2 linked regions of the Astyanax mexicanus genome follow. The protein of the gene in region 1 interacts with the protein of each later gene in a pairwise test. Links are inferred from orthologs where the notes say so. Each region holds a gene or a part of one and is shown on either strand. Other genes may lie near its edges. The genes, in order: MYCBP-associated protein and C-Myc-binding protein.

What was found.
Region 2: the proteins of MYCBP-associated protein (region 1) and C-Myc-binding protein interact in binary tests that used the Homo sapiens proteins (3 or more experiments, as listed by UniProt). The link is inferred for Astyanax mexicanus from reciprocal best matches to the Homo sapiens genes MYCBPAP and MYCBP.

The regions. Positions count from the first base shown.
Region 1 is NC_064428.1:37,595,179-37,610,875, reverse strand, and holds the start of MYCBP-associated protein, read right to left. Parts: upstream 10,029-15,697; 5' UTR 9,775-10,028; coding exon 9,708-9,774; intron 1-9,707. Other genes in the region: si:dkey-27j5.5 (dexamethasone-induced Ras-related protein 1), read left to right, coding at 10,758-11,211, 11,958-12,484. UniProt on the Homo sapiens protein: May play a role in spermatogenesis. May be involved in synaptic processes.
Region 2 is NW_026040049.1:699,631-715,327, reverse strand, and holds C-Myc-binding protein, read right to left. Parts: upstream 10,351-15,697; 5' UTR 10,241-10,350; coding exon 10,226-10,240; intron 8,327-10,225; coding exon 8,254-8,326; intron 7,645-8,253; coding exon 7,596-7,644; intron 6,164-7,595; coding exon 6,034-6,163; intron 4,376-6,033; coding exon 4,331-4,375; 3' UTR 4,113-4,330; downstream 1-4,112. Other genes in the region: gap junction alpha-9 protein-like, read left to right, coding at 1-79, 1,686-2,939. UniProt on the Homo sapiens protein: May control the transcriptional activity of MYC. Stimulates the activation of E box-dependent transcription by MYC.

The sequences.
Region 1 (15,697 bases):
TCAAACGTTTCGCGTTTCTTGCAGCGTGAGTGAAAGCCTCAGTTATCGAGGACACGTGTACAAGGTTCACACGACACAAAGCACAGTATTGTGAGTATATATTGAAGCATATATTCATTCGTGATCTGCTACAGAAGCAGTCTCCAAGAAACTCTGAGTGTCTGAGGAGTAAAAATGACTAGCGCCTCTTCAGTTTGTAAAGAATGTGTGAGAAAATGATTGAAATGTTTAAAAAACAAAGAAAGATTCTGATGCAATAAAAAAAACTCTTGATATTGAATTCCGTGTTTTTGTAGTCGTTTTGCTATATTTAGTGATACATTTGTGTTTGTTTGGAGTTTATAAGCATACAATACATATTCTACTTAGTTTTTACATTATTATTCCTTTAGACACTTAAAAAAAATGAAATAGACAAAATGTTTCTCCCTCTCAGTATTGCAGTTAGATGGAATTAGGAAAGTTATATAGAATAAAGTTACTGTTTCTTCTTACAGCCCAAATCACCAGTTTATACATTTCAAAATATGTCATAAAATGTATATAACCCCACGGTTATATAAAGATATCTAATGGGATTAGCCACCCATCCCTACTGTACTTTTTGTAATAATAATTTTGGGTATGTATGGGATTTAAAAGAGATACAAAAACATTGTCTGTTTTGTAATGCACTATGTTGTTACATCTGTTATCTGTAAAATTTTCAACAAAAAGAAATACGTTTATAATGTTTTTGCTTCTACTGAATGTATGAAACTGTTACATTTATATTCAACAAAACCCTAATGTTTATTTTGTTCCATTATCTTCTTTTAATCAATGTTTTTTACATTTCGCCAAGAATATCGGTATCATAAAAATTCCATGAAATATTGTAATATTATTTTAGGGCCATTTTGCACACTAAAAAAGTAAGTAGAGTACAAAGCTTGTCTCTGCGGCTGTACATTATATTCAGGTACAAAAAAGTACCTTTTAGTGAAAGTCCTTTTTTGTACCCATGGTTTTTGTGCCAGTAAAAATTATAAAGATTATAAAACATTATCATCAACTAAATATGGCTCAAAAACTTGGTGATCCAAAATTGTCTGGCTTTCAAATAAAAAATGTGCAATTTAAATATATATTGTTCATTAGTACAGTGATACAGAATACTGAATGTACCTTTTAGCTGCAGGTTAAATGGTACAAATCTGTATTTATTGCTGTTAGAAATTACTTTGTACATCAGAGGGAACAAATCTGACCCTGTAAAGACCAATATTGTACCTTTGAGGGTACGATTATGAAGAGTGTACCTCTGTTTTTTAGAGTGTGCCCAACCCCTAAGGTTTCTATGAACAAGTAGATTCAGATTTCCACATGCTCTCAATTGTCTCAAACTTTTTACTTTACAAAACAAGCCTGATGCTAAATATGTTAATCATGTCAGTTGGGCTGCAATTAATTATTATTTTGGTAGTCGACTAATCTGATGATTATTTTTTGATTAGTCGATTAGTCAACGATTATTTCTGCCATGTCCTTCATCTCTAAAAATGATTAAAAAAAACAGCTGAACATGAGATTTAAAAGGCATTTAAATGTCTGGATGTTGTTTAAACGTGGAAAGTTCTGATATTTAGTAAGTAAATATGTCATCTGTTGTGTTTGGGCACTTTTGGAGACACAGAATAAGCTGAGTGTAAACTGTGTGAGTGAGACATTTACCCGTTATCTCCCATTGCACTTCTGTCTCCAGCACTTTGTGTAATGCAGTACTGTTAAAAATGAACGATTAATCGACAATGAAATTTGTAGTCGACAATTTTAAATAATCAACATTGTCGATTATATCGACTAATCGTTGCAGCCCTAATGTCCAGAAACAGCATTAAAGCAGATGCCTTCTATACAGAATCTTTTACAAGGTTTTCCAGGCATTTTCCAACAAGACTATGCAAAAGCACATGCTGCACAGATTACACAGGCATGGCTGTGGAAAATGAAGCTATGGGTAATGGGCTGACCCTTCACTACTTGTTATACTCAGCGCAACAATATCTTATAAGTGTTGTGAGAAGGAATGCCAACATTATAAACTGGTAAATGCTTTAGTTGCTCTTTGAGTTCACCCCACTTAACTCAACAACAAACAGAACACTCAACCAGCAGCTCAGTTTCCTCTGCTGAGAAGAGTTTGTTGGACACGTCCAGGTAGCTGCACCGTTACAATAGCAATCCACCAAAGACAGAGCTCACCTGATCTACTCTTAAAGAGAATGATGAGCAATAGACACTCTGATTGGTTTATTTCATGTTACGCCCAAAATTAACCACACCCATCATTAATTAAGAGAATTAGTACATGCCTTTTGCGCTGCTTTTCGAGCTACGCAAGGAGTACTTTTATCGTTGTTACGATAGCAAAGACACACTGACACACCCTAAATCAGGCTGCACTATTCACTATTCAGGTGGGCGATGTGGCTGTAAAATAATATCACAATATTTCATGGTATTTTCACGATAACAATACTTTTGGCGATAGAATTTTATTATTGCATGCAATATGATATGATCCAATGATCAATGATCCAGAATGTCATGATACTAATTATAATAATAATGCACTCCAAATATCTCCATATATTCAGGATTAACGTAAAATAAATGATACTGGAAAGATATAATCTGTCTCTAGTAGATATATAATGGGAAATGAGAACAGTGTGAATTTTTCTTTTGCTAAAAACAGAAAAAAAGTAGAACCCTGATGTGATAATTAGGGGTGGATGATATGGTACCATATTTCAGGGTATAATATCGTTTATGATATTTTAAATATTTGGCGATATTATCACGTACGATACGATATGGCACACCCCTACTATTCACCATTGACCAGTGTGCTATAGATCACTAAAATAAGGCCTCCTGGGTTCATACTGTCTCTAATCATCAGCTCCAGTCCAGCTCAGGCTGCCACTACCAGGAAATAGCTATTAACCAGCAGAGAAAAGAGGAGGACAGCGCATTACAGAGACACTGATAAAGAACTGCATGACCTGAAGAAACATATCAGAACGAGAGAGAGAGAGAGAGAGGGAGAGAGAGGGAAGAAGCTGAATGCCAAGACAGAGAACATTTGAAAGAGTCGACCGAGGACAGAAACCAGCGACAAAGAGAACTGGCAGCTCTCGGAGAGAACATGAAGAACAGAGTCAGAATACTGCAAATTACTGACACCTCCAGAAAAACACACCTACGCATGCATTGTTTCTACTGAAATCAGGGGCGTTAAAAGAGTTTATCGTGATTATGTTTGTTTTGCTTTAGATATTACTAGATTCTGGATTGTACTGCATTGTATATTAAGAACCTGTATAACGGGGCGTACGAAAAAAGTACTCTACTGTCTCTACTGTTCAGAGAAGACTAGACTAGACTAGATACTAGATACTACTAGCATTTAAGCTATAAAACACTTAAGGTACGTGTTATAAGGTGTAATATTGGCACTGCTGTGATGGGGTCGTAGGCACGAGGGCTCAGGCCGAGTATAGATTAGATCAGCACAGCAGTGCCAATATTACATGTTATAGCACAAACCTCGAGTGTACTATTGCTTAAATTCTGGTAGTATCTAGTATCTAGTCTAGTCTAGTGTTCTCTGGACAGTAGAGACAGTAGAGATTATACTACAGTTCCATTATCACTGTTTATTAAAGATTTTAAAAAGTTAATGAGGAGGGAAAAATACAATCTGTTTGGTTATAAAAACTCTGCCAGTTAAAGTAAGCTCTGGATTATCATTATATAAATCTAAGCTTACTGTAAATAAACTTAAGAGCTTTACTCACCCAAATAAACAGTTTTCAGAAAAGGAATCTGTGTAGATTAAAGTCCAGCACACCTTTAACTTTAAAAGAATTTGTGTTTTTAAGAATTAAAGTTGTGTTAACTTTAATTGCTGCCCCCCAGCAGCAAAACCTGCAGAATTACAGAAAAAAAGTTTCCACGTCCCTATTCATTCACAGAACTGTGGAAAATGTTCTGGGAACGTTAAGAAAACTGTGCAGGTTCATGTTAAGGGACAATTCCAATTCCAAGGCAACATTCTGGGAAGGTTTTGTTAATGTTACATAAAAGGTTGAGGCCACATTCTGAGAAAATGTATAAATGTTTAAGCCCCTAATTTGTGATCCTTAAAAGGCAGTGTTACCAAATTGACATTACTGTGATATTCTCAATATATCATCAATATTTTCCTGGTATACAATAGCATATAAAGGACAATACATATGTTGCAATAATTGTAAATGTAAATGTAATGATTCTCTCTATAGAACCTAATCCTAAACACCTAAACCTAAACCTAAACCTAACCTCAATTGTGAATCAACCGTAAAACCGAACCCTTATCAAAACCTTAACCTAAACTTTAAACCAAACCTTAAAATGTTAGCATTTGGGATTGGGTTAGCATCAGAGTTGGGTCAGTCAATATAGAAACATTTACCTTTAAATGTTAGTTAAGCATTTGTGAGGCGTCTATAATGGACCATCCAAATAAAGTGCTACAAAAAAGATATTATTAATACAGACAAATAGATATGTAATATTTTTAAACATGCAGCAAACCCCTGCTGTAACCTTACTAAAACTATACAATTTTTTAATTCTATAAATTGGGCAGCTTTAGTTGAACAATCTGTCAAATACAGAATTCCATACATTCTGTATTGGGCTAGAACTGCAGGACAACAATTTTCAGTCTATTTTGGTCCTAAAAAAATAACTTTTTATAAGATACGGGTGTAAAAAACAGACTTTGCCTGTTCAAACTGAACAATGTAGGCTCACCTGGCTTCCCACAGAGGACAGACTGTGCTTTCAGAGAGATCTCAGACTGATAGAGATAGACTCTGCACTTAACAGTACACTCCAAACCCAATACAACTGACCTGTTCAAGCTCCGCCCACAAACATCTTCTGTCACAACCTGTACTGTTGCTGAGCAAAACAAGCTTTAGCAGAACAAGACCCTGGTACAACCTTTAAGAGACTGTAGCTTTTTATATTCCAGCTCTATATGTATTTTATATGTTCAAAAAGCATTTTCAGGAGTTGGGCTCTGACCCTTAGTTTTAGTATAAAAAAACTCTTAATTATTCAGTATACCAAACGATTTTGAAAAATTTCATGCTCATATTATTGGAGGAACAGTTTGGGGATGACCCCTTTCTATTTTAACATGACTAATTCACATTAGTGCACAAAGCAAAGTCCATAAAGACATGGATGAGCTGGTGAGTTTGGTGTGGAAAAACTTGACTGGCCTGCATGGAGTCAAATGGAGACAAAGTTTCATGAACACACTCCTAAACCTTGTGGAAGGCCTTCCCAAAAGAGCTTTCTCTTTTTATGTATATAAAAAGTATTCACTCATCCATTCATATCATTAATTCATATCAGTAAAACAATCGAGAACAGTAGTTGTCTGACTGCATTGCACATATTGTAAAGTTTGGTAGAGGGGGGATAATTATGATTATAGTGTAGGGATGTTTTTCAGGCGTTGGGCTTGGGCCCTTAGTTTTACTCAAATTAACTCTTAATAATTCGGTATACCAAGAGATTTTTTACAATTTCATGCTCCCAACTTTGAAGGAACTGTTTGGGGATGACTCCTTCCTGTTTCAACATAAAAAGCATAATGCACACCAGTGCACAAAGCAAGCTACATAAAGATATGAATGAGCTGGTGAGTTTGGTGTGGAAGAACTTGACTGGCCTGCACAGAGTCCTCACAAATTCAAATAAACACACTCCTAAACCTTGCGGAAAGCCCTCCCACCTACCCAAAAGAGCTTTCTCTTTATATAGTATACATATATTCACTCATTCATTCACTCACCCTTTCATAACATTACTGAAAGAATCGAGAACAGTACTTGTCTGACTGCATTGTGCAAATTTTAAAGTTTGGTAGAGGGGGGATCATTATGATTATAGTGTGCGGGTGTTTTACAGGAGTTGGGCTCTGCCACAGTTAGTTCCAGTGAAATTAACACTTAATTATTAAGTATACCAAGAGATTTTGGACAATGTTATGCTCCCAAATTTGTTGGAACAGTTTGGGAACAACCCCAAAGCACAATCCATAAAGATATGGATGAGCTGGTGAGTTTGGTGTGGAAGAACTTGACTGGCCTGCATGGAGTCCTCACAAATTCCTATAAACACATTCCTAAACCTTGTGGAAAGCCTTTACATAAGAGCTAAAACTCGATGGGTTAAGAATAGGATCACTCCATTTCATACAGTATGTGTGCAAAGGCTAAACTTTAGCTAATGCGTGTTATTAAATATTGATTAACCCTTATTAAAATTAGAGTATTTAGAGTCTTCAGATTTTGTGCTCGGTCTAGCAGTGTACTTTGCAACCCAAAGAAAATGAAGCTGTCTGAGCACAGCAGGTTTCGTAACGCCTCTGCCTTTGCTTTTCATATGAAGGAAGTCTTTATAGATGATTGACCCAAAATGTTTTAAAGTAATAACAGCATTACGACACAAATTCATGCCGCTGTGTTTCAGATAAAACTATGCCAGTCCATAATGGAGAGACTGGATAATGAAGTCAGACTAACAGTGCCAGTCATTCACATTCGCCATCTCTTTCTTTCCCAATGTACCTTACCATAATCGCTTTCCAGATAGAAAAGTTTAGTGGGTTAGTAGGCTACACAGGTCAGATTTTACATAAACCATCATCATTGTTACCTCATTTCTGCAAGGCCAGAATTTCGCTCCAACGCTATCGCCCTTCACTTAAGCAAAATCCTGCTCTTTTTCAACTACAACATATTGAATTATTGTAAAATTACAGTCAAAAGATTGACCAAGGACACATCATTGTAACGTACCATTTTCTCTTCAACACTTTCTGGGTGTATATGCATTACTGACCATACTTTATTCCATACTGTCTTTTCTTTCAGTCACTGTGACAATTGTGGACCCAGTTAGCCAACATCCAGCTCTAGACAGGTTTGTAGGTTAGCTATCTTATGTCACTTCCGCCTCTGAGAAGTTTGTTCAGGACTAGACCCAACTTTTGGGTTGGTTTTTTGAAGTAAACCCCTGGCAATGTACCTGTAAGGTTCAGTGAAAGTTCTACTTTCACACACGTAATTTTTTTTCTACTGTGTCCCAACGTTCTTCCCTGCTACCACCATCTGGTTGCTCAGGTGATTGGCTCTGATCTTTGCAGGTCCAGATATTACCAAACCTAGGCCAAAAAAAGAGGCACATGCCAAAAACTTTACCAAGCTTTAACAGATCAAATTTGTTGTCTATCTAACTGTTAAGATTTTGGCAAGATTATAGTTTTTTGGTGTATATTTGCCTTTGAAGATGTCTGTTAGAAATCTCCAAGGAACTGGTTCTAGAGACCAAAACTCCACATCAGTCTTGACTTAAACTGGACTAGCAAACTATCGGTCTTGACTCAGACTCGGCTCTAGTGAACTTGACTATATAGGAACCCAACCTTCAGAAAAGGAAAATCAAGTAGTCAGGTCTTCTACCTCCATGGTTCCCAACTCTAATCGATGAGTCATTTGTTGTGATACTGGAGGTCTGGTGTCCAGCGTAGTCTGGTGATTTCCTGCTCAAGCATATCACCTAAATCTGGTAAACTTTTAAGCCAAAGAGGAAGGGATTCGGTAGAGAAATCACCAACCTTAGGGACCCAAGTAGTCAGGTTTGCAAACCAGATCCTGGCATTATCACTGGGACCTTCCAAAAGATTTTTTCACATCCTTTCATCCAGACTGAAAGGAATTGGGTTTCATTTCTATTTTTTGCTGTTTAAACTTCAAAATCAATCTGAATATGCCAAAATGTTGATTTAGCTTGAGAGTCTGAAAATATCCATATACATTTAGAACAATCTGTGGAATTCCAACTTAACATTCAAACCAAACCTATGCCCTCTCTTCCGTCTACTGAAAACTACAGTTCATGCAGAGCTGCATTCACACTTATTTATGCTAACCTATTTATTGTTCCTGTTACAGATCCTTTTATCTGAACTAGGGCACGTCCTGCACCAGCTAAAGCCAAACGTTTTATTAGAGTTATTCAATCTGTGCAACTGACATATTAAATTATTAAACCCTGCAAGAACCAATTCACATCTTTTTGCCTTTTTACTGGGCAGGGAATTGGGTCAAGCCACCCATAGCTAGCTTGTTACGCTTCCTTTAGTCATTGCAACAGGTGTGAACTCTTGTTTAGAGCCAATGTCCAGCTGTAAGCAGGTAAGTAGGTTAGCAAACTTAACTAATCACTTTTCTGAGAGGTTTGGTCAGTACTAAACCTACCAAGCTAACCCAACAAGCAAGTCTTCAGTGAAGGTGGACTCAACTCTACTTTATACCTGATTACCTCTGGTTGTATCATCACTCTAAAGATTGTGTTTTTTTCAATGTTTCCAGCCACATTTCATTGGGGAGCTCTAATAATGGAAAACAAGCCAGTTACTAGGTGCCAAAAAGTGAGTAGAGTCCAGTACTAAAATAAATACTAAAATAACTAAAAACATCCAGCACCTATAGAACAATTAAGAATGGGAAAAAAATGACCTGTAGTCCACTGGGCCACAAGACATTCATTGTGGTTCTGAAGATTTGGGGTCCAGCATAGTTTGGTGATTTCCTGCTCAATCGTACCATCTAAGTCTGGTAAATTTTAAAAGAAGAAGTTGAGTTTGAGTAGGAAAATGACCACATTACACTGAAAAGTTCTAAGAAATGTGGATTTTTTTGCCTGAAAATAAATAATTTTGGTTTGAATATGTATGGCAGTATAAACAATATTGGGTTGACATCAACAATAGAGAGTGAAAAGGCAGGCAGGTTTAAACATCAAATGTAAAAATCTGGTAAAAAAGCTGGATTTTCTCAGTAAATTGATTTTTGTTTGTTTTCTTTGTCAAACCTAACCACTATTAGGCTATCCCCATTCGTTTTAACACATTTTTCAGCAGTTATCATATTATTACTGAGGGCATGCATGTAGGTATAAAGACTAATACATAGAGAGACAAATGGATAGAGAGATATATAGCTAGATAGCTAGCTAGATAGCTAGCTAGCTAGCTAGATAGATAGATAGATAGATAGATAGATAGATAGATAGATAGATAGATAGATAGATAGATAGATAGATAGATAGATAGATAGATAGATAGACAACACATTTTATATCAGCTTACAGTAATCATTTTATTACTAAGGGCATGTAATAATCGATAGACCGACAGATACATAGGTAGACAGATAGAATGAAAGTCAGTCAGATATAGATATAAATAAATATATATATATATATATATATATATATATATATATATATATATATATATATATATATATATATATATATATATATAGACAGACAGACAGAAAGTCAGTCAGACAGGCAGTCTGACACACAGAAAAAAATAGATAGACAGTTCTAAGATCGGGGTTAAGGAGATGAGAGTCCAGTATAAGAACTAATTTTCAGATAAATCAGATTTATAATTATTATTAGTCAGTTATATTGTGTGTCTGTAATCCCCCTCACTCTCAGACGCTTAGTCAGTATAATTAAATATAACATATTTGTTATATTAATAGTATTAGTCTGTAGTGTCGGTGTGAGTGCGGTCCTACCGGAGGGGGAGCGGGACCGGGGCTCTTTTTTACCCGGTTTACTGAGCGACTTCCCCGGACTGGCCATGCCTGCAGATCCGCGGTTAGCTTAGCCTCCAGCTAACAACCAAACACACAGCTCTAATAACCCGCCCTAACTACAGCCACAAACACACACAGCGCGCGCTCAACACAGAGCTTAATCACCCGGATATAATATACACGGGTTATAGAGCTGATACACACTACAGAAACTGTATAAACTAGCGATAAAACTCAATAAAAACAATAATAAACCCGCAGCCGGTTAGCTATAGCTCTCTCTGACTAGCACCTGCGGTATCATAGCAACGGACGCCACCGGGGTAGCCCTGGCAACGGGAGCTCGCGCACGAGCGCGCTCACCTTCACTATCACTGAACAATAACACTAATCTTATAGGATCTATCTATCTGTCTATCTATCTATCTGACTTTCTGTCTCTCTACCTACATTTGATCTCTCCGTCTGTCTACTTCTCTGTATGATATATGTATCTGTTTATCTATCTGTCCTATTTTCTGTCTTTCTGTCCATCTATTTATCTGTTGCTGTCTATCTGTCGCTCACCTTTACTGAATAATAACACTGATCTTATAGGAGCTTCTGCTATCTATCTATCTATCTATCTATCTATCTATCTATCTATCTATCTATCTATCTATCTATCTATCTAACTGTCTGTCTGTCTGTCTGTCTGTCCAATTATGTATTCTTCGGTCTCTTTACGTTTCTGTGTGTCTGTCTATTTATCTGTCTTTCCGTCTGTCTGTCTGCATGTCTATATATGTATCTGTCTACCTATCTATCTGTATGTCTGTCCGTCTGAATCTGTCAGTCTGTCCATCTGAATCTGTCAGTCTGACTTTCTGTCTCTCTGTCTATTTACTTACTGTCTCTCTCTCCATCTCTGTCGTCTGACTCTCTCTCGCTCTGTCTGTAAGCCCCTCCCACTGGGCGGGGTCTCGGTTTCTCCGGTATATTAACGGGGCGCGGGGCTCGTGCTCGGTACAGACCTGCAGTAAGGTACATATGGAGGTTCCGGTTCCCGCGCGCTCTCAACACCTGTTGATCGGCTACAAGCGCGCTGCGCAGCACCTGCTCTCCAAGGCCGGGATGCGCGTATTAAAGCTGCAGCGGAGCGCGAGCGCCGCCGCCAAGGACCCGCAGCGCTCCTCCCCGCTCGCGCAGCTCGCCGCGCTCGTGCTGCAGCGGAGGCGGCGCCGCCTGCCGCTCGAGTCCGCCGCGCTCGCGCCCAAGCCGCGGAACTGCCGGCGCGTGGTGGTGCTGGGCGCGCCGCGCGCGGGGAAGACCAGTCTTGTGCGACGCTTCCTGCGCGAGGACTTTGAGGAGCGGTACGAGCCCACGCGCGAGGACTTTCACAGGAAACTATACCAGATCCGCGGGGAGGCGTACCAGATAGACATCCTGGACCCGGCCGCCGAGCGCGAGTTTCCCGCCAAACGGAGGCTCACCATCCTCACAGGTGAGCGCGTGCTGATGCTTTACTAGTTACCTGTAATTTTTGTTTTTCTGCTGCCAGAAACAGAATTCTTTAAAAGAATAATGTTCTGTACCAGCGAATACTTTGGAAACTTTAAAAGGTACCAAAATATTACTATATTATATTATATTGAAACCACAAAGGTAACAAGAAAGTTATCTAAGAGAAATTAAATTAACAATGGTAGCAAATGTTTTTTCCTCAGCTCCACACAAGAAAAATATTTGACTTTTTATATTTAAAACAGAAGAATCCTATATTTCAACCTATTTCAAAGGTTCTCCATTATAAATGGTCCTAAGGCACTAAAAACTCTGATTCTGATTTTTTGATTGTGTTGAACCCTTTATTAGTTTTTAAGTTCTTTCTAATGGATTTTGATCTTTCTAATAGATAATGGATACTACAAAACCTTATCAAACTCTTTAAATCTGTTCAGGTGTGTTCTTTGAGATGAACCAATTGTAGAACTAAAAAAAAAGTTTGTAATGGAACAAAATATACTTTACACCCACTTTACACACTTTTAATTTATTAGTAATAATTGACAGTATTAATCAAAATTCTCAAGCAATACAATTCAGTAATGTTTAGTAATCTCTTAACTACTGAACAATTTAACAGTGTTTTTTAAGTGATTTTTAAGTGTTTTTAAGTTTTTAACTGCTGTTTCTACTGTGTAGGATAAATATTGACGCTAATCTGTATGTGTGTGTATATGTGTTTAGGTGATATCTTTCTGCTGGTGTTGAGTGTGGATGACCGTGACTCGTTTGAGGAGGCGCTTGCTCTGCGCTCAGAGATTTCCCAGGCTAAGACCGCGCTGCTGCGCTGCTCGGCGGAAGGCGCTCGCGTACCCGTGGTCGTCTGCGCCAACAAGACGGACCTGCCGGCGTCGGAGCGCGCCGTGTCGCGCGCCGAGCTCCTACGCGCCTTCGGGGGTAAAGACTCCGCCTGCACGCTGTTCGAGACGTCGGCGAAGGACGGAGGCGCCGGTCTGGAGCGGGCGTTCGAGGCGCTGGCGGCGCGGGCGGGGCTGCCCGTGGAGACCGGGCCCTCGCGCCACCGCAGACTGTCCCTACGGTCCTACCGCAAACTGTGGGGAGGTGGGGCAGCGGGCAGGAAGTCCGAGGCTCACGATACGCCGTGCGGCGCACTGCACCCGCTCGCCCGCCGCCCCAGCGTCAGCGCCGACCTCCGGCTGGTACTCGCCACGCAGGGCAAAAAGAGGACGAGCAAGACGGGAAAGAAGTGACTCTGAGAAAACAAGTAATTTGACTTATTGACTAAAAAAACTGACAATAGCACCAGTATTGTATTGTAGCAGACCAGCGGAACCATCAACACCCAAAGAAACCTTTACATGGTCCTGTACCTGGTCCTCAAATGTCCTGAAAAACCTCTTGTGAAAGCTCTTAGTCCTATATCATTTAAAATTAATGGGTTTTACAGCGCACCAACAAGTCACAGACTGTCTTCGGGTACTATATACTACCCAGGCAAAGATATATACATATCTATATATATATATATATATATATAGTAATGGTGCTAGATTGCATCTGAAAGTCACAGAACCATTTTCAGTACTGTAATAGAGCCAAAAGCATCAATGGCGTAACGATGGCATAGTTTAAAATACATCAAGCATTCAGCATGCCGAAACAAACCAGTTTATTTTGTAATTAGTATTTTCCAATTCCAAGTCTTGTTGTGTCCAACATGTGTTAATCTTAATCTAAACTCTGGAGTCTTGACTTCATTTGTCTATGATCTAGAACCACTTTGTGTTCACCGATAATGTACTGTATCTGCTTCTGTCTACACCTGAAGCAGGGAATTGTTCTGGATCTCCAGCTTAAACCAGATTTCGATTCTTGTTTGCATTCACACCGAACCTCTTCCTGTTTAAATTCCGGTACACTTTTAAACATGAAGGTTTTTTTCTTTTTTTTTTAGCTATATACCATAGAACAAGAATGGGCAGGCCTATAGAACAACTACTTTAGGTTCTATGAAGGACCAGACAAAATACAGGTTTAGACAGATGTTTTTGTTTTTTCTTTGACAATCAAGGTCACATTTCTGCTAGGAAACAGTGCTAGATTGACATCGAACTCCAAAATTTAGGTTGAACCAAAAAACTGGACTGATGTCAAAACCCATAATTTTTCTAGACGTTGAAATGAAAGAACAACAAAATCCAACATTGGGTTGACATTTAAAATTGAGAGTAAGACTGATGACAAAACTGTTAGAAATGATATTTGTTGGAAATTGGACTAAAGTCAAAAACATTATACAAATGTTTGTTTTTTAAAGAAGTTCACGTTGTACGGATGCTAACTTTATGAAGTTTAGCATACCTTACAACCTTACGTTGATTTAACTGCCAATAATAAAGTTGCAGTCTCATGTTTGCTAGATGTTTTCAGTAAAAAAAAAAAAATAGGATATCGATGTCAGCTGTCCTTACAATTCTACATTACAGTAACATTGGCATTAGACATTGCCCTGATACGGTTCTTCACACTGGATCTTTATGGTTCTTCTATAGCATTGCTTAAAGAAACCTGAATAGAACCTTCATATTCGAGAGTGTTAATGATATCCGGGTAACAGCACATGTGTGAATGTGTGTGTGTGTGTGTGTGTGCACGCATGTTTTACTTGAGATCAAACACAGACTGTATTACCATCAGTGTCCTTCCATCAGTATCAGTGTAAACACTGCTGTGCTGCTGTAGAGTTTATTATAACTTTATTTATTAATGAATTAATTTATTTATATGTTTGTTTGTTTGTTGATATGTTTATTGTTTGTATAGCGTCTGAACTGTAGCACTGATCCAGCACTGTAGAAGAAATGTGTGTGTAATTTATGGAGACTGCATGAACGTTCTGATCAGAGCAAAGATTTTCAATAAACGATTTTTATACTGAAAAATAACTCTGAGTCTGATCTGTGAGAGAGAGAGAGAGTGTGTTAATGACAGATAGTGTAATAGAGAGTCTGTGAGAGTGAAAAAGAGTGTGTAAGAGAGAGTGTAAGAGCAAGAGTGCCTAGAGAGCAAGAATGTAAGAGAGTGAGAGTGTAAGAGAGAGTGTGACAAAGCGTAAGAGTGAGAGAAAGTGTGAGAGAGAGTAAAAAAAGTGTAAGAGAGTATAAGAGGAAGAGAGTATAAGAGAAAGAGAGCACAAGAGAGAATGTAAACGAGTGAGAGAGTGTAACAGAGAGTGTAAAACAAAGCATAAGACAGAGAGAGAGTGTGTAAAAGAGAGAAAATATGAGAGAGAGTGTTAGAGAGAGAAAGCATAAGAGAAAGGTGTAAGAGTGAAAGACAAAGCGTAAGAGAGAGAGTGTAAAAGTGAGAGTAAGAGACAAAGCATAAGAGAGTGTAAAGGAGAGAAATGTGTAGCGAGAGAAAGAATTTGAGAGAGTATTAGAGAGAGAAACAGATAGAGCACCATAAATGGAAGCGAGTCTGGTACAGAGTGTAACAGAAATAGAGAGAGCTGAGCGATGTGTAAGAGCGAGAGAGTGAGCGCGAGAGTGAGTGGGTGAGAGAGAGAGAGTAGGTGGGAGGATGTACTATATGGGGAATCTGCAGGTCACTGACTGCTATTATAATATATTATATAACATTTTAGAGAAGGAAAAATGCGTGTCCAATAGCATCCTACATATTTACTATAATCAGGGATAGATGTGGAGATGCACATGCTATAGTAAACCAGATGATCTGAGATTAAGGTGATTTGAGGTGATTTAATTGGGATGAGAGGGAGCTTCACAGCATGAAGGAAAAGCAGCAGCTATTGTTCAGCACCTCCAGGAACTCCTTCCTTCAAGACGCTGAGAAAACTATTCTTGTGACTCTCCCTCATGAAGACACTGAGATTAAAATCTCACCAAGAGTATTCAGATCTGTACTCAAAGATACATGTATAAAGTTCAAAACAGAATCTGGTTTATTATTAAAAATGACATCACAGTTAGTTCCGATTGGCTGAAAGACGCTTTATGAGTGCCGTTATCAGCCGGTAATGCACTGTAACCGAAGCTCTCCATGTTTTACTCCGCCAAATACAGCTAACCTAGCAACAATGCAGCACTTACAAACCAAATACAAACCAAATGCGATGTCATTATATACCTCTGGGGGCCGTTGGAACCCATAGACACAGTGTAGAAACGCCAAGCCATGTCTCCAATAGGCGGCGCAGGTAAAGATTCAAAAATACGCATTATTACACATATTCACATATCAGTCACCAATATCAGGTTAAGAGCTGTTATTGTTAAAATAAAAGCATATAAGCGTTTATATTTTCCAGTTAATATTTTTGGGGCATTGGGTATATATTTTTGGGTATATATTATGCTGCTGGGGGTGTGCCGAAGTAAACAGAACTTTAAATCTTAAAAAAAAAAAACATTTTCTTTTAGTTAAAGGAGTGCTGGATG
Region 2 (15,697 bases), on another chromosome or scaffold:
CACCAAGCAACCGGGCTGCCGAAACGTCTGCTACGACCGGGCCTTTCCCATCTCCCTGATCCGCTACTGGGTCCTGCAGGTCAGTAACCATCTAACCAATCAACCAACCAAGTAACTAATTAACTAACTAACCAATCAACCATCTCCCTGATCCGCTACTGGGTCCTGCAGGTCAGTAACCATCTAACCAATCAATCAACCAACCAATTAACCAATCAACCAACTAACTAACTAATCATCTCCCTGATTTGCTACTGGGTCCTGCAGGTCAGTAATCATCTAACCAATCAACCAACCAATAAACTAATTACCTAACTAACCAATCAACCATCTCCCTGATCCGCTACTGGGTCCTGCAGGTCAGTAATCATCTAACCAATCAACCAACCAATAAACTAATTACCTAACTAACCAATCAACCATCTCCCTGATCCGCTACTGGGTCCTGCAGGTCAGTAACCATCTAACCAATCAACCAACCAAGTTACTAATTAACTAACTAACCAATCAACCATCTCCCTGATCCGCTACTGGGTCCTGCAGGTCAGTAACCATCTAACCAATCAACCAACCAAGTAACTAATTAACTAACTAACCAATCAACCATCTCCCTGATCCACTACTGGGTCCTGCAGGTCAGTAACCATCTAACCAACCAACCAACCAACTAACTAACCAATCAACCAACTAACTAACCAATCATCTCCCTGATCCGCTACTGGGTCCTGCACGTCAGAAACCATCTAACCAACCAACCAATTAATTAACTAACTAACCAATCAACCATCTCCCTGATCCCCTACTGGGTCCTGCAGGTCAGAAACCATCTAACCAATCAACCAACCAATTAACTAATTAACTAATCAACCATCTCCCTGATCCGCTACTGGGTCCTGCAGGTCAGTAACCATCTAACCAATCAACCAACCAAGTAACTAATTAACTAACTAACCAATCAACCATCTCCCTGATCCGCTACTGGGTCCTGCAGGTCAGTAACCATCTCACCAATCAACCAACCAAGTAACTAATTAACCAATCAACCATCTCCCTGATCCGCTACTGGGTCCTGCAGGTCAGTAACCATCTAACCAACCAACCAACTAACTAACCAATCAACCAACTAACTAACCAATCATCTCCCTGATCCGCTACTGGGTCCTGCACGTCAGAAACCATCTAACCAACCAACCAATTAATTAACTAACTAACCAATCAACCATCTCCCTGATCCCCTACTGGGTCCTGCAGGTCAGAAACCATCTAACCAATCAACCAACCAATTAACTAATTAACTAATCAACCATCTCCCTGATCCGCTACTGGGTCCTGCAGGTCAGTAACCATCTAACCAACCAACCAACTAACTAAACAACCAACCAATATTCCAACCAACCAACAAACTAACTATAAAACCAATCAACCAACCAACTTACTAACAAATTCTACATTGTCCACAGAACCTTCCAGCCCTGCAATGGAAGAGGAACCGTAGATAGGTGGTCCTTAGGTTATCCTGAGTTCCATTCCTGTGTATATTTCGGTGTGTTGGAGCAGAGCAGTCAGGACCAGTAATGTGAACTGCTGGATTACAAATAAACTAAATGTCAAATATTAGAATAATGTTTGAGTAACAGTTTAGCACTAGCTAAATTTGTCTGACTAATTATAAGTTTGTGTTACAGGTGATCTTCGTCTCGTCGCCCTCGCTTGTCTACATGGGCCACGCCATCTACCAGCTGAGAGCCCTGGAGAAAGAGCGGCACTGCAAGAAGGTGGCGCTGCGGCGGGAGCTGGAGGGACTGGACCCGGATCATGCCGAGGCTCGTAAGAGGATAGAGAGGGAGATGAGGCAGATAGAGCAGGGAAAACTGAACAAGGCTCCTCTACGGGGGTCGTTACTGAGGACCTACATCGCTCACATAGTGACCCGGTCCGTGGTGGAGGTCGGGTTCATGCTCGGCCAGCAACTCCTGTACGGGAACCAGCTGCAGCCGCTGTATAAGTGCGAGCGCGAGCCGTGCCCGGACGTGGTGGACTGCTTCGTCTCTCGTCCAACCGAGAAAAGCGTATTCATGGTGTTCATGCAGATCATCGCCGCTGTTTCCCTTTTCCTCAGCCTGCTGGAGATCTTGCACCTTGCGTACAAGAAGATCAAGAAGGGAATTCTCGAGTTCTACCCGCACTTAAAGGATGATCTAGATGACTGCTACGGTGCCAAGTCCAAAAAGAACTCAGTGGTGCACCAAGTGTGCATCAGCCAAGGGCGCAAATCGACGATCCCGACCGCACCGAGTGGATACACGCTGCTGCACGAGAAGCAAGCCAACGGACCGGCTTACCCACCTCTGGTTAGCGGGTCTTCTGTATTCCAGCCTGTCAAGCTGGAGAGTCATGCCGGAGGAAGACCAGGATCAGATGGTCAGAAGGACCCCAAGACCAGCGGTCCAAGTCCCACAGAACACAACAGCAACTCCAACAACACCAGCAACGAGGCTCGCTCTCGTGCGGACAAACCCGAACAACTCCTTGAGGACTCCCAGGAGCTTGAGACCGAAAGTTCAGAGTACCCAACGCTTCTGGTAACTGAATCCGCCTCCTGTCCCACCACCTGTCCAACTAACACCACCCGCAGAGCCCGCAAGGTCAGCGGTCCATGGAACTGCAGTACTGTGATGGAAGGCAACGCTTCCGACAGCGAAGAGTCCTGCAGCAGCTTAGCGGGCGCAGGAATTCACCCACGAGTTGGTCAACCTGTAGTCCACTGCCGGTCCTTCCCTAAACTGGACTCCAGAAGGTCCAGTCGACCACAGACGCCAGATTCTGCAGCGGACAGGAGCTCGGACTCACGCCACAGTCCTGCTCTATCTGCTAACCGCAGGACATCGCCGGCCAGCAGTGTCAGCAGCAGGAGAGCTGCCACAGACCTGCAGATCTGAAAAAAATCCTGCCCTAAAGCATTATCTAACCCAGGGACAAGTTCTGAGACGTCTCCACGTTCCACCTACAGAAGCTGTTTTGATGGCAGCTCTGACTACCGTTTCGGAACACTTATTGATCAGTCCAGAGATTTTTAATTTTCAGACCACCGTCTGGACCAAAGGACAAAAATTTGATCGGAAAAATGTTATCTACCGATCAATAGTCTGGTTGGTTTGCAGAGTAAACACTTTTTTGGACAGTTCAGACTTATAACCGAAAGTAACCGGATTAAATAACGTACAGAATACAATCTAACAAGCACATCAACTTCGGTTTCCGACCCAGTGTCATCCTTCTTAGCTCCGCCCCCTCTCTTTCACTTGTAGGGTCTGTATTTTATACACCTGTGATAATGGGACTAAATCAAACACCTGGATTCAGGTTTTAAGGGTTGTGTTTCAACTCTAGAAACTTTGCTTTAATAACGAAATGACTGGAATTAACTTATTATTAGCCTGGGTTCATCAGTAATATTCATCAGTGGATTTTGTGATGCATGTTGTTATATTTAGAATATATAATGCTAAAGTTTTTTCTCTTTGTTTTCAGATAATAATTTAATTTCTCAAAAGAAAAAACACCACATCATGTAGTGACTCACAGCAGCATCTTGTGAACAACACATTCATTTTTAAACAAATAGGAAAAGTTTGTGCGTAATAATGAAATTGGTTTTGTACACTTTTGTACACTTTGTTATGTTGATCACACTATATATATATATATATACACACACACACAATACTAATGCATCTCAAAAAAATTAATATTTGAAATCATTGAAATGTGACTTTTTATTTCAGTAATTCAGTTGAAAATGTGAAAGTCATACATTATATAGATGTATTAAACACAGAGTGATGTATTTTAAGCGTTTATTTATTTTATTGTTGATGACTATATCTTACAGCCAGAATATTAGAATATTATTTAAGACCAATTGGTTCTTTTGGCAGTGTGCCAAGTCCTGCTGGAAAATGAAATCAGCATCTCAATAAAAGTATAGGAAGCATGAAGTGTTTTTTATTTCTATTTGAACCACGAGTGCCTTGTGTATAGTGTAAGACAGAGGTTCTCCTATTCTAGTTTTTCTTCTTTAAGGAACAGAAACGAGTCTCAGACACAGGAAGTGATGCAGAAACAATAATATATTTAGTGTAGGTGTTTAGGAAACTAAATTCAATACCACATTCGTTTTACAAACAAAAATTCACCATTCCCAGTTTTGTAAAAAACGTAATATAAAAGTGCAGGAATCAAAAAACTGAAATATTACCCCCTCATTCTTCACACAGCGTTAATTATAAACTCTATAAACTCAATAACTAAACCCAGATCCTCCTGATCCTCATTCTGCTGCTCCATCCTCCACCGGCGGCTCGTACTGCAGCAGCTGCAGGAGACAGAACCACACAGAACCATCAGAACATTAGAACCTTAATATCAAAATTATCCAAAAGCGGAGTCTGTGTAAAATATTTCACACTTCTACTCTGTGATACAACTTCTGAATTCGGAATGCAATTGTAAAAACAGGAGGACCAGTGAGTTTTTAGGCTTTAATCTTTCTCGATCACATGACATCATCGGTGTTCAGTAGCTCCTCCATTTCCAGTCGCTGTTGTGTTTTTAACGTGGATCTCCATGGAAACCGTGGCGCACCCAAAGTGTAATTACGGTGCGCGGCAGTGGATAAATATCTATTTTATTAAAGGCGAGGAGACGAAACTCAGAGATGTGCGTCCGGACAGGACTAAAATTACCGGAGGAGCACGGAGTTCAGAGAAAAACAGTAGATAATTCAGCCTGTAATTTTCTCAGAGGACGTCTGAGAAAAACACAAACATGATCGTTCTGGACGGGAATAAAATCACAGAGGATAAAAAAAAAAAACATAAAATAGAGAAAATTACCCAGAACCGCCTAAAAAACTAATCCCATCCAGATAGGGCTCTTTGTTTCTTCACATGTAATCAGACATCCAATTATAATCAGATTTATGCAGCTATACGCTTATTCTATTAGTTGTGTAAACAGCAAAATCGGATTATTCTGAGATCAGAGTAAAGTCTATAAAATTGTTCTGTGATGTAAGCAGCACACTCTGATTACTATAGTCTATAAATCTGATAAATCAAAATGATTTTTTGTGATAATGATATTCTTGAAGATATTACAGGACATTATTTTTTAAAATTATAATTTTAAGTATACACAGTAAAGGTGTGGAAAAAGTATTGGCCCCTTACAGATTTCTTTGGCCTTTGCTTTTTTTTTGTCATACTTGATATTTTTTTGATTATCAAACAAAATCAGAACTTTAATCGAACAAATATAACCTGATTAAATATAAAAAAATCACTTTTTACATGATAATTTTCTTTTTTGCAGCCTTGTAATGTGAATGTAGCCAAATAACTCTCATCTGATTTGGAAATAATAGTTATAACTAATTGGATTTGGTGCATTGACACAACTGTGAAAAAAGTCACTTTAGCCTGCTAATGTGAACGTAGCCGAAGGGACTCAAATCTGAGTTGAAAAAATCAGATTTGGAACATTCACACAGTCATGGAAAAAAATCAGATCTGATCCACATTGATCAAAAAATCACTTTATCTTGGTAAAGTCAAAATGACTTGAAGAAAAAAAAAACAGATTTGGTACGTTCACACAACCGTGAAAAAAAATTAGACCTGAGCCTATTATTATTATTAAAAAATCTGATTTGAGTCAATTTAATCCTGGTAATGTGAACGTAGTCAAAGTGACATTCACACAACCATGAATCAGAAAATCAGATCTAAGTCACATTAGCCTGTTAATGTGAATGTAGCTAAAGTGACTTAATTCTGATTTGTGAAAAAAAAGAAAAAAAGAAATCATAATTGGCATGTTCACACAACCGTGAAAAAATCAGATTTGAGTCACTTTAGCCTGCTAATGTGAACGTAGCGTTAGTCTTTAGATGTGAATGAGAATCAGAACTTAGTCTTTTAACGTCTTTTTTCGGAGTCTGTTTGAAGTTATCTAGTGTATAATCAGCTTTACCCGGTTCTTCAGGTCTCGGTTCTCCTCCAGCAGAGCGTCGTATTTCTGCTGCAGCTCCGTCAGCTCCAGACACAGCGTCTCCACGTCGCCGGAGTCCGGCTCACCTGTGCTCAGGTGCAGCCGTATAAACCTGCGGGAGATCTGACTCAGGACCACAACGCTTCTCTCGGGAACTCAGGTACCTGCCCGCTCACAATTACAGACATCACACCCTGCCAACACTACCTTTTAATTATTATTTGTATTTTATTCTAATTACATTTTTATTTTTGTATCTATTTTTACACACTATATACCGTTATTTTAAAATAATTACATTTTGCTCTTATTTTCTCTGCCATCCCTGTTTCTGTAAATGCTCGGCTACATTAAAAATGAGGGTTTTCCTCAATGTACATCCGAGTTAAAATAAAGATTGATTGATTGACCTTATGAAGCTAAATTAGTGCTAAAACTACGCAAATAAAGAAAACTTATTTTTAAATATTATACTACTTGCAAACAAACACAACTCGCTTTACAAATATAAAACACAACTATCTAACACACAGGGTGTGTTTTACAAATATATATGTAAACATATAAATATATATATATATGCAACCTTTAAATAAATACACAGCGTTCAGTTTTTCTAATACATTGCTCTTAAAGAAATATAACATGTGTTGTGTATCATTGCAGGTAGTATAATATTTACAGAATATGTTTTCTTTATTTGCATAGATTTAGCACTAATTTAACTCCATACTACCTTATCTAACAACCATCTGAATAGAACTGGACAATAATTGGATATCTGTATTTATCGTATCTCTGAGGAGTGCATTAATTCCAGAGTTCTGATATTAATAACTGGAAACTAGAGTAATGTACAGATACTTTACTCAAGTCAAAAGTTTGGACACAGCTTTCCTACACAGTAAATGAATAGTAAAGTGATGTATCAGATTATGAAGGAACACATAATGAATCATGTAGTAACTTAAAAATAGTGTTAAACAAACCAAAATACTCTGTGAAGTATTTAGATTAAACTCTGATAAACTTATCCTGTACAACAGAGGAAACTCTCGCTCTTCCTTTCATATACAGTCCTGATAAGTGCCAGTTTCATCATTATCAGTTGTTGAAATTCTTCTTTTTTTTTAAATGACTGACCTTCATTTCTTCTTAACGTAATTTATTCTTTATTTAGTTGAGTAGTTGTTGCTTCTCATAATCTGGATTAGAACATTACTCAAATATTCACTATTCACTGTATACCTGTAACTCTACCTCTTAACTACTTTACTTTAACTGATGCTCTCAAACACTTTATTAAGAGACAAGAAATTCAAGTAATTAACTCTTGATGAGTTCAGCACAGCTGTTAACTGAAAGCCTGAATTCCAGGTGACTCTACCTCATAAAACTGACTGAGAAAATCCAGCAGAGATGTTGGATAATTTCATTTAAAAGTGAATTTGTTAAGGTGTGCCCTTTATTTATATAGTATTGAGTAAAACAATGTAATTGTGATATAAAGCTCTACATGTAACCCAGCAGAGGATAAAGGATACTCCAGAGCATTGTTGGGTTTATCCGTCTCCTCGTACAGAGCCACCAGCACTGTTAGAAAAGGGGAAATGATTAGTGACGGAACACTCTACAAAAATATACGGAATATAGTATTATACAAAGCTCTCTATAATAGAGAGCTCTTCTTCAGTTTCTGAATCAGTTTCTCTGATTTTGCTATTTATAGGTTTATGTTTGAGTAAAATGAACATTGTTGTTTTATTCTATAAACTACAGACAACATTTCTCCCAAATTACAAATAAAAATATTCTCATTTAGAGCATTTATTTACAGAAAATGAGAAATGACTGAAATAACAAAAAAGATGCAGAGCTTTCAGACCTCAAATAATGCAAAGAAAACAAGTTCATATTCATAAAGTTTTAAGAGTTCAGAAATAATCAATATTTGGTGGAATAATCCTGGTTTTTAATCACAGTTTTTTTCATGCATCTTGGCATCATGTTCTCCTCCTCCACCAGTCTTACACACTGCTTTTGGATAACTTTATGCTGCTTTACTCCTGGTGCAAAAATTCAAGCAGTTCAGTTTGGTGGTTTGATGGTTTGTGATCATCATCATAAGTGGAATCTTATTTTTTTTCAGAGCTGTATACATCTATAACTATAACAGATAGAGCTGTATAGAGCAGAACACACCATTAGTGAGACTGTCCAGAACTCCAGCTTTCTCCAGGTACCTCCTGAACTGCTCACGCTTCGACTCTGCAGCCTGAAACACATCATTCATATAATAAATACATAAATTAACAATAATACTCAATCTCAATCAGACTTTAACCCTCCAGAACCTTCATTTAGTTTATTAATCCATTCAGAGACAGTGAACTTGCTGTTTGTGTGATTTGGTTCATTGTCCTGCTGCAGAACCCAAGTACTCCTGAGCTTGAGGTCACGAACAGATACCCAGACATGAAGTGATCTCTTGATAGTGCAGTTCTGGCAGTTATCAGGCCTGTTTTTTTCCCATAATAAATGAAATTATCATTTTAAAAGTGATTCCTATATTTACTCAGATTATCTTCATGTTTGTTTGATAATCTGGGAAAAAAAACTATGTATAACTATATGTATATGTGAAATGCATTGATTTAAGCTAATTTTAATATATTTTCAATAAATTGATAAAGTTATAAAGTTGTACCGGTGTGTGTAGTCTCTCTTTAAGTTATAAATGTGTATAACAGCATCAGACCAGAATTCTTTATTTATATTTATTTCACTCAGCACTTCTACACACAAAACGCAGTTAGAAAAAAAAAATAAAGGCGCAGGTGAAGGACTGGTCAGATAATCATCACTTATCGTGGGATCAGGTGAGCTGGCTCAGACACAGGTGTGCAGTGGGGGGAGGGGTCTGGTTATACAGGCAGGTAAAGATCTGATAAAAATAAATAATATAGCATAAAATAATATAATGCAGCAAATAATATTGCAGAATATTTAGTGCATGCATATAAACTGCAAACTAAAACAATTATACAATAAATACACCTAAAGCTTCACAGTAAATAATAGACTACTTTTAAAACAGAACAGCCCTATTATCACGATATGGATTTTTAATATCATGATATTTCTGTCACTAGATAGATAGATACTTTATTTATCCCGAAGGAAATTTAGGGTATATTGTATACGACATAATATTGCCCACCCCTAATGGGTCCTTAGTATTTAAAGTAATTAGTATCTACACTACACTGGTATTTAGTATTTACACTTGTAATCACTATATACAAAGGTAATTAGCATCTGAACTGAAATTTACTATCTAAACTATGGGTGGGCAATATTACATCGTATAAAATATATCGTGACACAGAAATATCATGATATAAAAATCCATATCGTGATAACAGGGCTGTTCTGTCTTAAAAGTAGTCTATTATTTACTGTGAAGCTTTAGGTGTATTTATTGTATAATTGTTTTAGTTTGCAGTTTATATGCATGCACTAAATATTCTGCTATATTATTTGCTGGATTATATTATTTTATGCTATATTATTTATTTTGCCACATTATGATTATACTGTTATACTATTATACTATATTACTAAAATTAACAAATTATTTCTGTTTTCCTATATCACCAAGTATATCGTTATTGCAAAAATACCCTGAAATATCGTGATATTATTTTAGAGCCATGTCGCCCACCCCTAATCTAAACTGGTAATTAGTATCTACACTGGAAATTAGTATCTAAACTGGAAATTAGTATCTACACTGGTAATTAGTATCTGGACAGGTAATTAGTAGTAATTAAACTGGTTAAGGTGGTCGGTAGAGTTGAGCTGGGTTCTGGAGCTGTAAAACGGGCTGCATTGGGTCGGAACCCGCGACGGTTCTGGTATATTAGCTGGGTCGGAACCTGTGGGCCGCGGTTCGGGAGCTGTGAGGGTGTTCTGGAGAAGGGAAGAGCTGTGAGCTGGGTCGGAACCCGCGGCGGTTCTGAGGTAAATTATTAGCTTTAGCTTCCTGCATCTCTCCGCCGGTATTAACTACCATAAATACCATAAATTCCCCTAAACTCCGCGGCTGTTCGGGTCCGGGCGGGCTGTGTACCGCTGTGCGGTTCTGTTCGGTGCTGTTTGGACCGGTACTCACCCTGTAATGCGCCATTCCGGGTTTAATTCCTCTCAGAGTTCAGGAGTTCAGCTCCGCTGCTAACCTTCTAACTTACCTTCCAAGCCCGCGCATGCGCGCTACCCCACCGCGCCAAACACCGGAACACGACACACCGTCGCCCTGGCAACCAAGAACCGCCCACATACACTCACAACAAATTATATATGTTAATGTAAAAAAGAATACAATAAAATAATAAATACATAGCTTAACAAAATAAAAAAATATATAAAAATAAAAAAACTATATATAAAACAACACATAAAATATAGAAATTATGAAATATAAATCAAAATAAATAAATAGTACATAAAAAGATTATAATTTAATTACAATATAATATAATATTATTTCATATAATATAAATCATAAATAAATAAATAAATAAATAAATAAAAATTATGAAATTATAATTGTGAAATGCAATGAATTATTCCTAAACCAGTAACTTTAAACCAGTACACTGAGGTAAAGAAAAAAAAAAAAGTTAAAGTTGCAGCAGATGTGTTCGGAGGTAAAGCAGGCATAGTCGAAGGTTCAGCCGGCGTTATCGTTTTAACGTATTTAAACATTCCTCTAACGTTGCTGCAATGTCACTTCAGTCAATGTTTTCATTTCTGGTGTTGGTGTTTGGTCTACAGTAACCACACTGTACTCAATACCACACCAACACGGTCTACAGTAACCACACTGTACTCAATACCACACCAACACGGTCTACAGTAACCATGCTGTACTCAAAACCACACCAACACGGTCTACAGTAACCACACTGTACTCAATACCACACCAACACGGTCTACACTTGTATCAGTTGTAGTTAAGGATTTGAATTAATCTCATGGTAGAACTGGATCTGTTCTTGCATGGTTGTTGTAGTGGATACAGCTGTAGTTGTTGCTGTGATTGTAGTTGTAGTTTATGTAGTTGGAGCTGTAGTTGTGGTTATTGGAGGTGTATTTGAGGCTGTTGGAGCTGGGGTTGAGGTTGTTGGAGCTGTAGTTGTGGTTATTGGAGGTGTAGTTGAGGCTGTTGGAGCTGGGGTTGAGGTCGTTGGAGCTGTAGTTGTGGTTATTGGAGGTGTAGTTGAGGCTGTTGGAGCTGGGGTTGAGGTCGTTGGAGCTGTAGTTGTGGTTATTGGAGGTGTAGCTGAGGCTGTTGGACCTGGGGTTGAGGTCATTGGAGCTGTAGTTGTGGTTATTGGAGGTGTAGTTGAGGCTGTTGGAGCTGGGGTTGAGGTCGTTGGAGCTGTAGTTGTGGTTATTGGAGGTGTAGTTGAGGCTGTTGGAGCTGGGGTTGAGGTTGTTGGAGCTGTATTTGTGGTTATTGGAGGTGTAGTTGAGGCTGTTGGACCTGGGGTTGAGGTTGTTGGAGCTGTAGTTGTGGTTATTGGAGGTGTAGTTGAGGCTGTTGGAGCTGGGGTTGAGGTTGTTGGAGCTGTAGTTGTGGTTATTGGACCTGTAGTTGAGGCTGTTGGAGCTGGGGTTGAGGTTGTTGGAGCTGTAGTTGTGGTTATTGGACCTGTAGTTGAGGCTGTTGGAGCTGGGGTTAAGGTTGTTGGAGCTGTAGTTGTGGTTATTGGAGGTGTAGCTGAGGCTGTTGGACCTGGGGTTGAGGTCATTGGAGCTGTAGTTGTGGTTATTGGAGGTGTAGTTGAGGCTGTTGGAGCTGGGGTTGAGGTCGTTGGAGCTGTAGTTGTGGTTATTGGAGGTGTAGTTGAGGCTGTTGGAGCTGGGGTTGAGGTTGTTGGAGCTGTATTTGTGGTTATTGGAGGTGTAGTTGAGGCTGTTGGACCTGGGGTTGAGGTTGTTGGAGCTGTAGTTGTGGTTATTGGAGGTGTAGTTGAGGCTGTTGGAGCTGGGGTTGAGGTTGTTGGAGCTGTATTTGTGGTTATTGGAGGTGTAGTTGAGGCTGTTGGAGCTGGGGTTGAGGTCGTTGGAGCTGTAGTTGGGGTTATTGGAGGTGTAGTTGAGGCTGTTGGAGCTGGGGTTGAGGTTGTTGGAGCTGTAGTTGTGGTTATTGGAGGTGTATTTGAGGCTGTTGGAGCTGGGGTTGAGGTTGTTGGAGCTGTAGTTGTGGTTATTGGAGGTGTATTTGAGGCTGTTGGAGCTGGGGTTGAGGTTGTTGGAGCTGTAGTTGTGGTTATTGGAGGTGTATTTGAGGCTGTTGGAGCTGGGGTTGAGGTTGTTGGAGGTGTGGTTGTGGTTATTGGAGGTGTATTTGAGGCTGTTGGAGCTGGGGTTGAGGTTGTTGGAGGTGTGGTTGTGGTTATTGGAGGTGTAGTTGAGGCTGTTGGAGCTGAGGTTGAGGTCGTTGGAGGTGTGGTTGTGGTTGTTGGACCTGTAGTTGAGGCTGTTGGAGCTGGGGTTGAGGTTGTTGGAGCTGTAGTTGTGGTTATTGGACCTGTAGTTGAGGCTGTTGGAGCTGGGGTTGAGGTTGTTGGAGCTGTAGTTGTGGTTATTGGACCTGTAGTTGAGGCTGTTGGAGCTGGGGTTAAGGTTGTTGGAGCTGAAGTTGTGGTTATTGGAGGTGTAGTTGAGGCTGTTGGAGCTGAAGTTGTGGTTATTGGAGGTGTAGTTGAGGCTGTTGGAGCTGGGGTTGAGGTTGTTGGAGCTGTAGTTGTGGTTATTGGACCTGTAGTTGAGGCTGTTGGAGCTGGGGTTGAGGTTGTTGGAGCTGTAGTTGTGGTTATTGGACCTGTAGTTGAGGCTATTGGAGCTGAGGTTGAGGTTGTTGGAGGTGTGGTTGTGGTTATTGGACCTGTAGTTGAGGCTGTTGGAGCTGGGGTTGAGGTTGTTGGAGCTGTAGTTGTGGTTGTTGGACCTGTAGTTGAGGCTGTTGGAGCTGGGGTTGAGGTTGTTGGAGCTGTAGTTGTGGTTATTGGACCTGTAGTTGAGGCTGTTGGAGCTGGGGTTGAGGTTGTTGGAGCTGTAGTTGTGGTTATTGGACCTGTAGTTGAGGCTGTTGGAGCTGGGGTTGAGGTTGTTGGAGCTGTAGTTGTGGTTATTGGAGGTGTAGTTGAGGCTGTTGGAGCTGGGGTTGAGGTTGTTGGAGCTGAAGTTGTGGTTATTGGAGGTGTAGTTGAGGCTGTTGGAGCTGGGGTTGAGGTTGTTGGAGCTGTAGTTGTGGTTATTGGACCTGTAGTTGAGGATGTTGGAGCTGGGGTTGAGGTCGTTGGAGGTGTGGTTGTGGTTGTTGGACCTGTAGTTGAGGTTGTAGCAGAAGTTGCGGCTCGGACGTTTCCGGTTGTATTGTTTACATTCGCCTGTATAGGCAAAACGTACATTTTGTACTAGCAAGAGGTCAAAATGAGTATCCAGCGTGAGGTTTTCAAGCCGTTTTCAGCACTGCTGTGTTCCTTTTTGCACGGCGTCTGCTAAGTTTTATGGAAGCTTTAGGCTTTCATAGCTTCCCTGCTCAGAGTGATCTAATAAACAGTGACTGATGAACATCAGTCAGGACCACTTCACCATTTCGCCGTATGAAAGGTCTGTAGCAAACATTTAATACCAGACTACCTGGTTAAACCAAAAACGTCAGAAGCTTGGAGACGACTGGCAAAGCATGCAGTGCCACTGCTTTTTAAATGGAATAATTAACGTGACAGCACCCAGGCTCCACGTGATTTGGAGAGGAGATCAGCTAAACGTACTTGCCTGAATGATCCACCACCTAGCATTTTTATTATAGCTAGATATTTTTATTATTATTATTATTATTATTATTATTATTATTATTATTATTATTATTATTATTATCATTATTATTATTATTATTATAGATATTTATTATTATTATTATTATTATAGATATTTATTATTATTATTATTATAGATATTTATTATTATTATAGATATTTATTATTATTGTTATTATTATTATTGTTATTATTATTATTATTATTATTATTATCATTATTGTAGCTAGATATTATTATTATTTTGACTATTTTTATTTTTGTTATTAATATTATTATTATTATTATTATTGTAGGTAGTATTTTTATTGTTATTAATATTATTATTGCTAGCATGTATATGATTCTTTTTATAGTGATTATTATTATTTTTACTATCATTATTATAATAGTTGGCATTATTATAGCCAGCATTTTTATTATTATAGCTAGTATTTGTCTAATAAATGTTATTATTATTATTATTATTATTATTATTATTATTATTATTATTATTATTATTATTATTATTATTATTATTATTAGACTAGTGGTGGGCTTTACTGGTCTCCTGGACGTTGAGGTTAATTTTTAGAAGCTCTTGTAAACACCAGCTGAAAATACTGCCATAAGGAGTGTATTGGAAAAGCCAAACAGGAAACGCTGGAGCAGCACTGATGAGAATGGGGAAGTAGTTGTGCAAAGAGCGCATTCCCTGGTTTTATGGTGCAACTTTTGCTAGCTGTATTTTATTTTTTATTAAAAAACTGGGTTAAACAGAACTTGTGGTAACTGAGGTAACTGAACTAGCTTAACACTAGCCCGGTTAGCGAGTTAGCTTAGCCTAGTTAGCTGATAAGTCTAATACCAAGATACCAAGATTACAAAGTTATAAACCAATAAAATAAACTAACACTTTGTGTAACTGTGAGAAAAAAAGACAATTGATTGGGTTTTACTGTGTAACTTTAGCTAGATATATTTTATTTTTTATTATGAAACTAAGTTAAACAGAACTTGTGGTGGATTTAGAGCCTGAGGTAACTGAACTAGCTTAACGCTAGCCCGGTTAGCGAGTTAGCTTAGCCTAGTTAGCTGATAAGTCTAATACCAAGATACCAAGATTATAGTTATAAACCAATAAAATAAACCAACACTTTGTGTAACTGTGAGGAAAAAAGACAATTGATTGGGTTTTACTGTGTAACTTTAGCTAGATATATTTTATTTTTTATTATGAAACTAAGTTAAACAGAACTTGTGGTGGATCCAGAGCCTGAGGTAACTAAACTAGCTTAACACTAGCCCGGTTAGTTAGCTTAGCTTGGTTAGCTGATAAGGCTAAGATGAGGTAAAGTTTAAAAAAAAACACCACTCTGCAATTTTTGAGTTTTATTGTGTAACTTGTGTCATTTTATTACTACCAAACCAGGTTAAATAGGACCCTTGTTGGAGTCTGAGCCCGAGTTAACTAGCATTAAGCTAGTTAGCATAGATTGGTTAGGTTAAAAAGCCAGTTGTTTGGCCGACCGTGAGGAATGATCAGTGCAAATGGTATATAGTTATTTTTTTTTTGTTTCATCGTTTAGATTTAAATTGTATGATAAAAGTTTATGAAACTTCTTTAGATCTTATTGAAATATTGAAATGTGGTGACATGTGAAAGCTATTTTAACCTCACTGTTGCATGTTTAACACTAGATAACCTAGCTAACTAGATAGCGAGAAGGTTCTTTAATCATAAATATTTTTTTTCATTAAGTTTAAAAACTTTC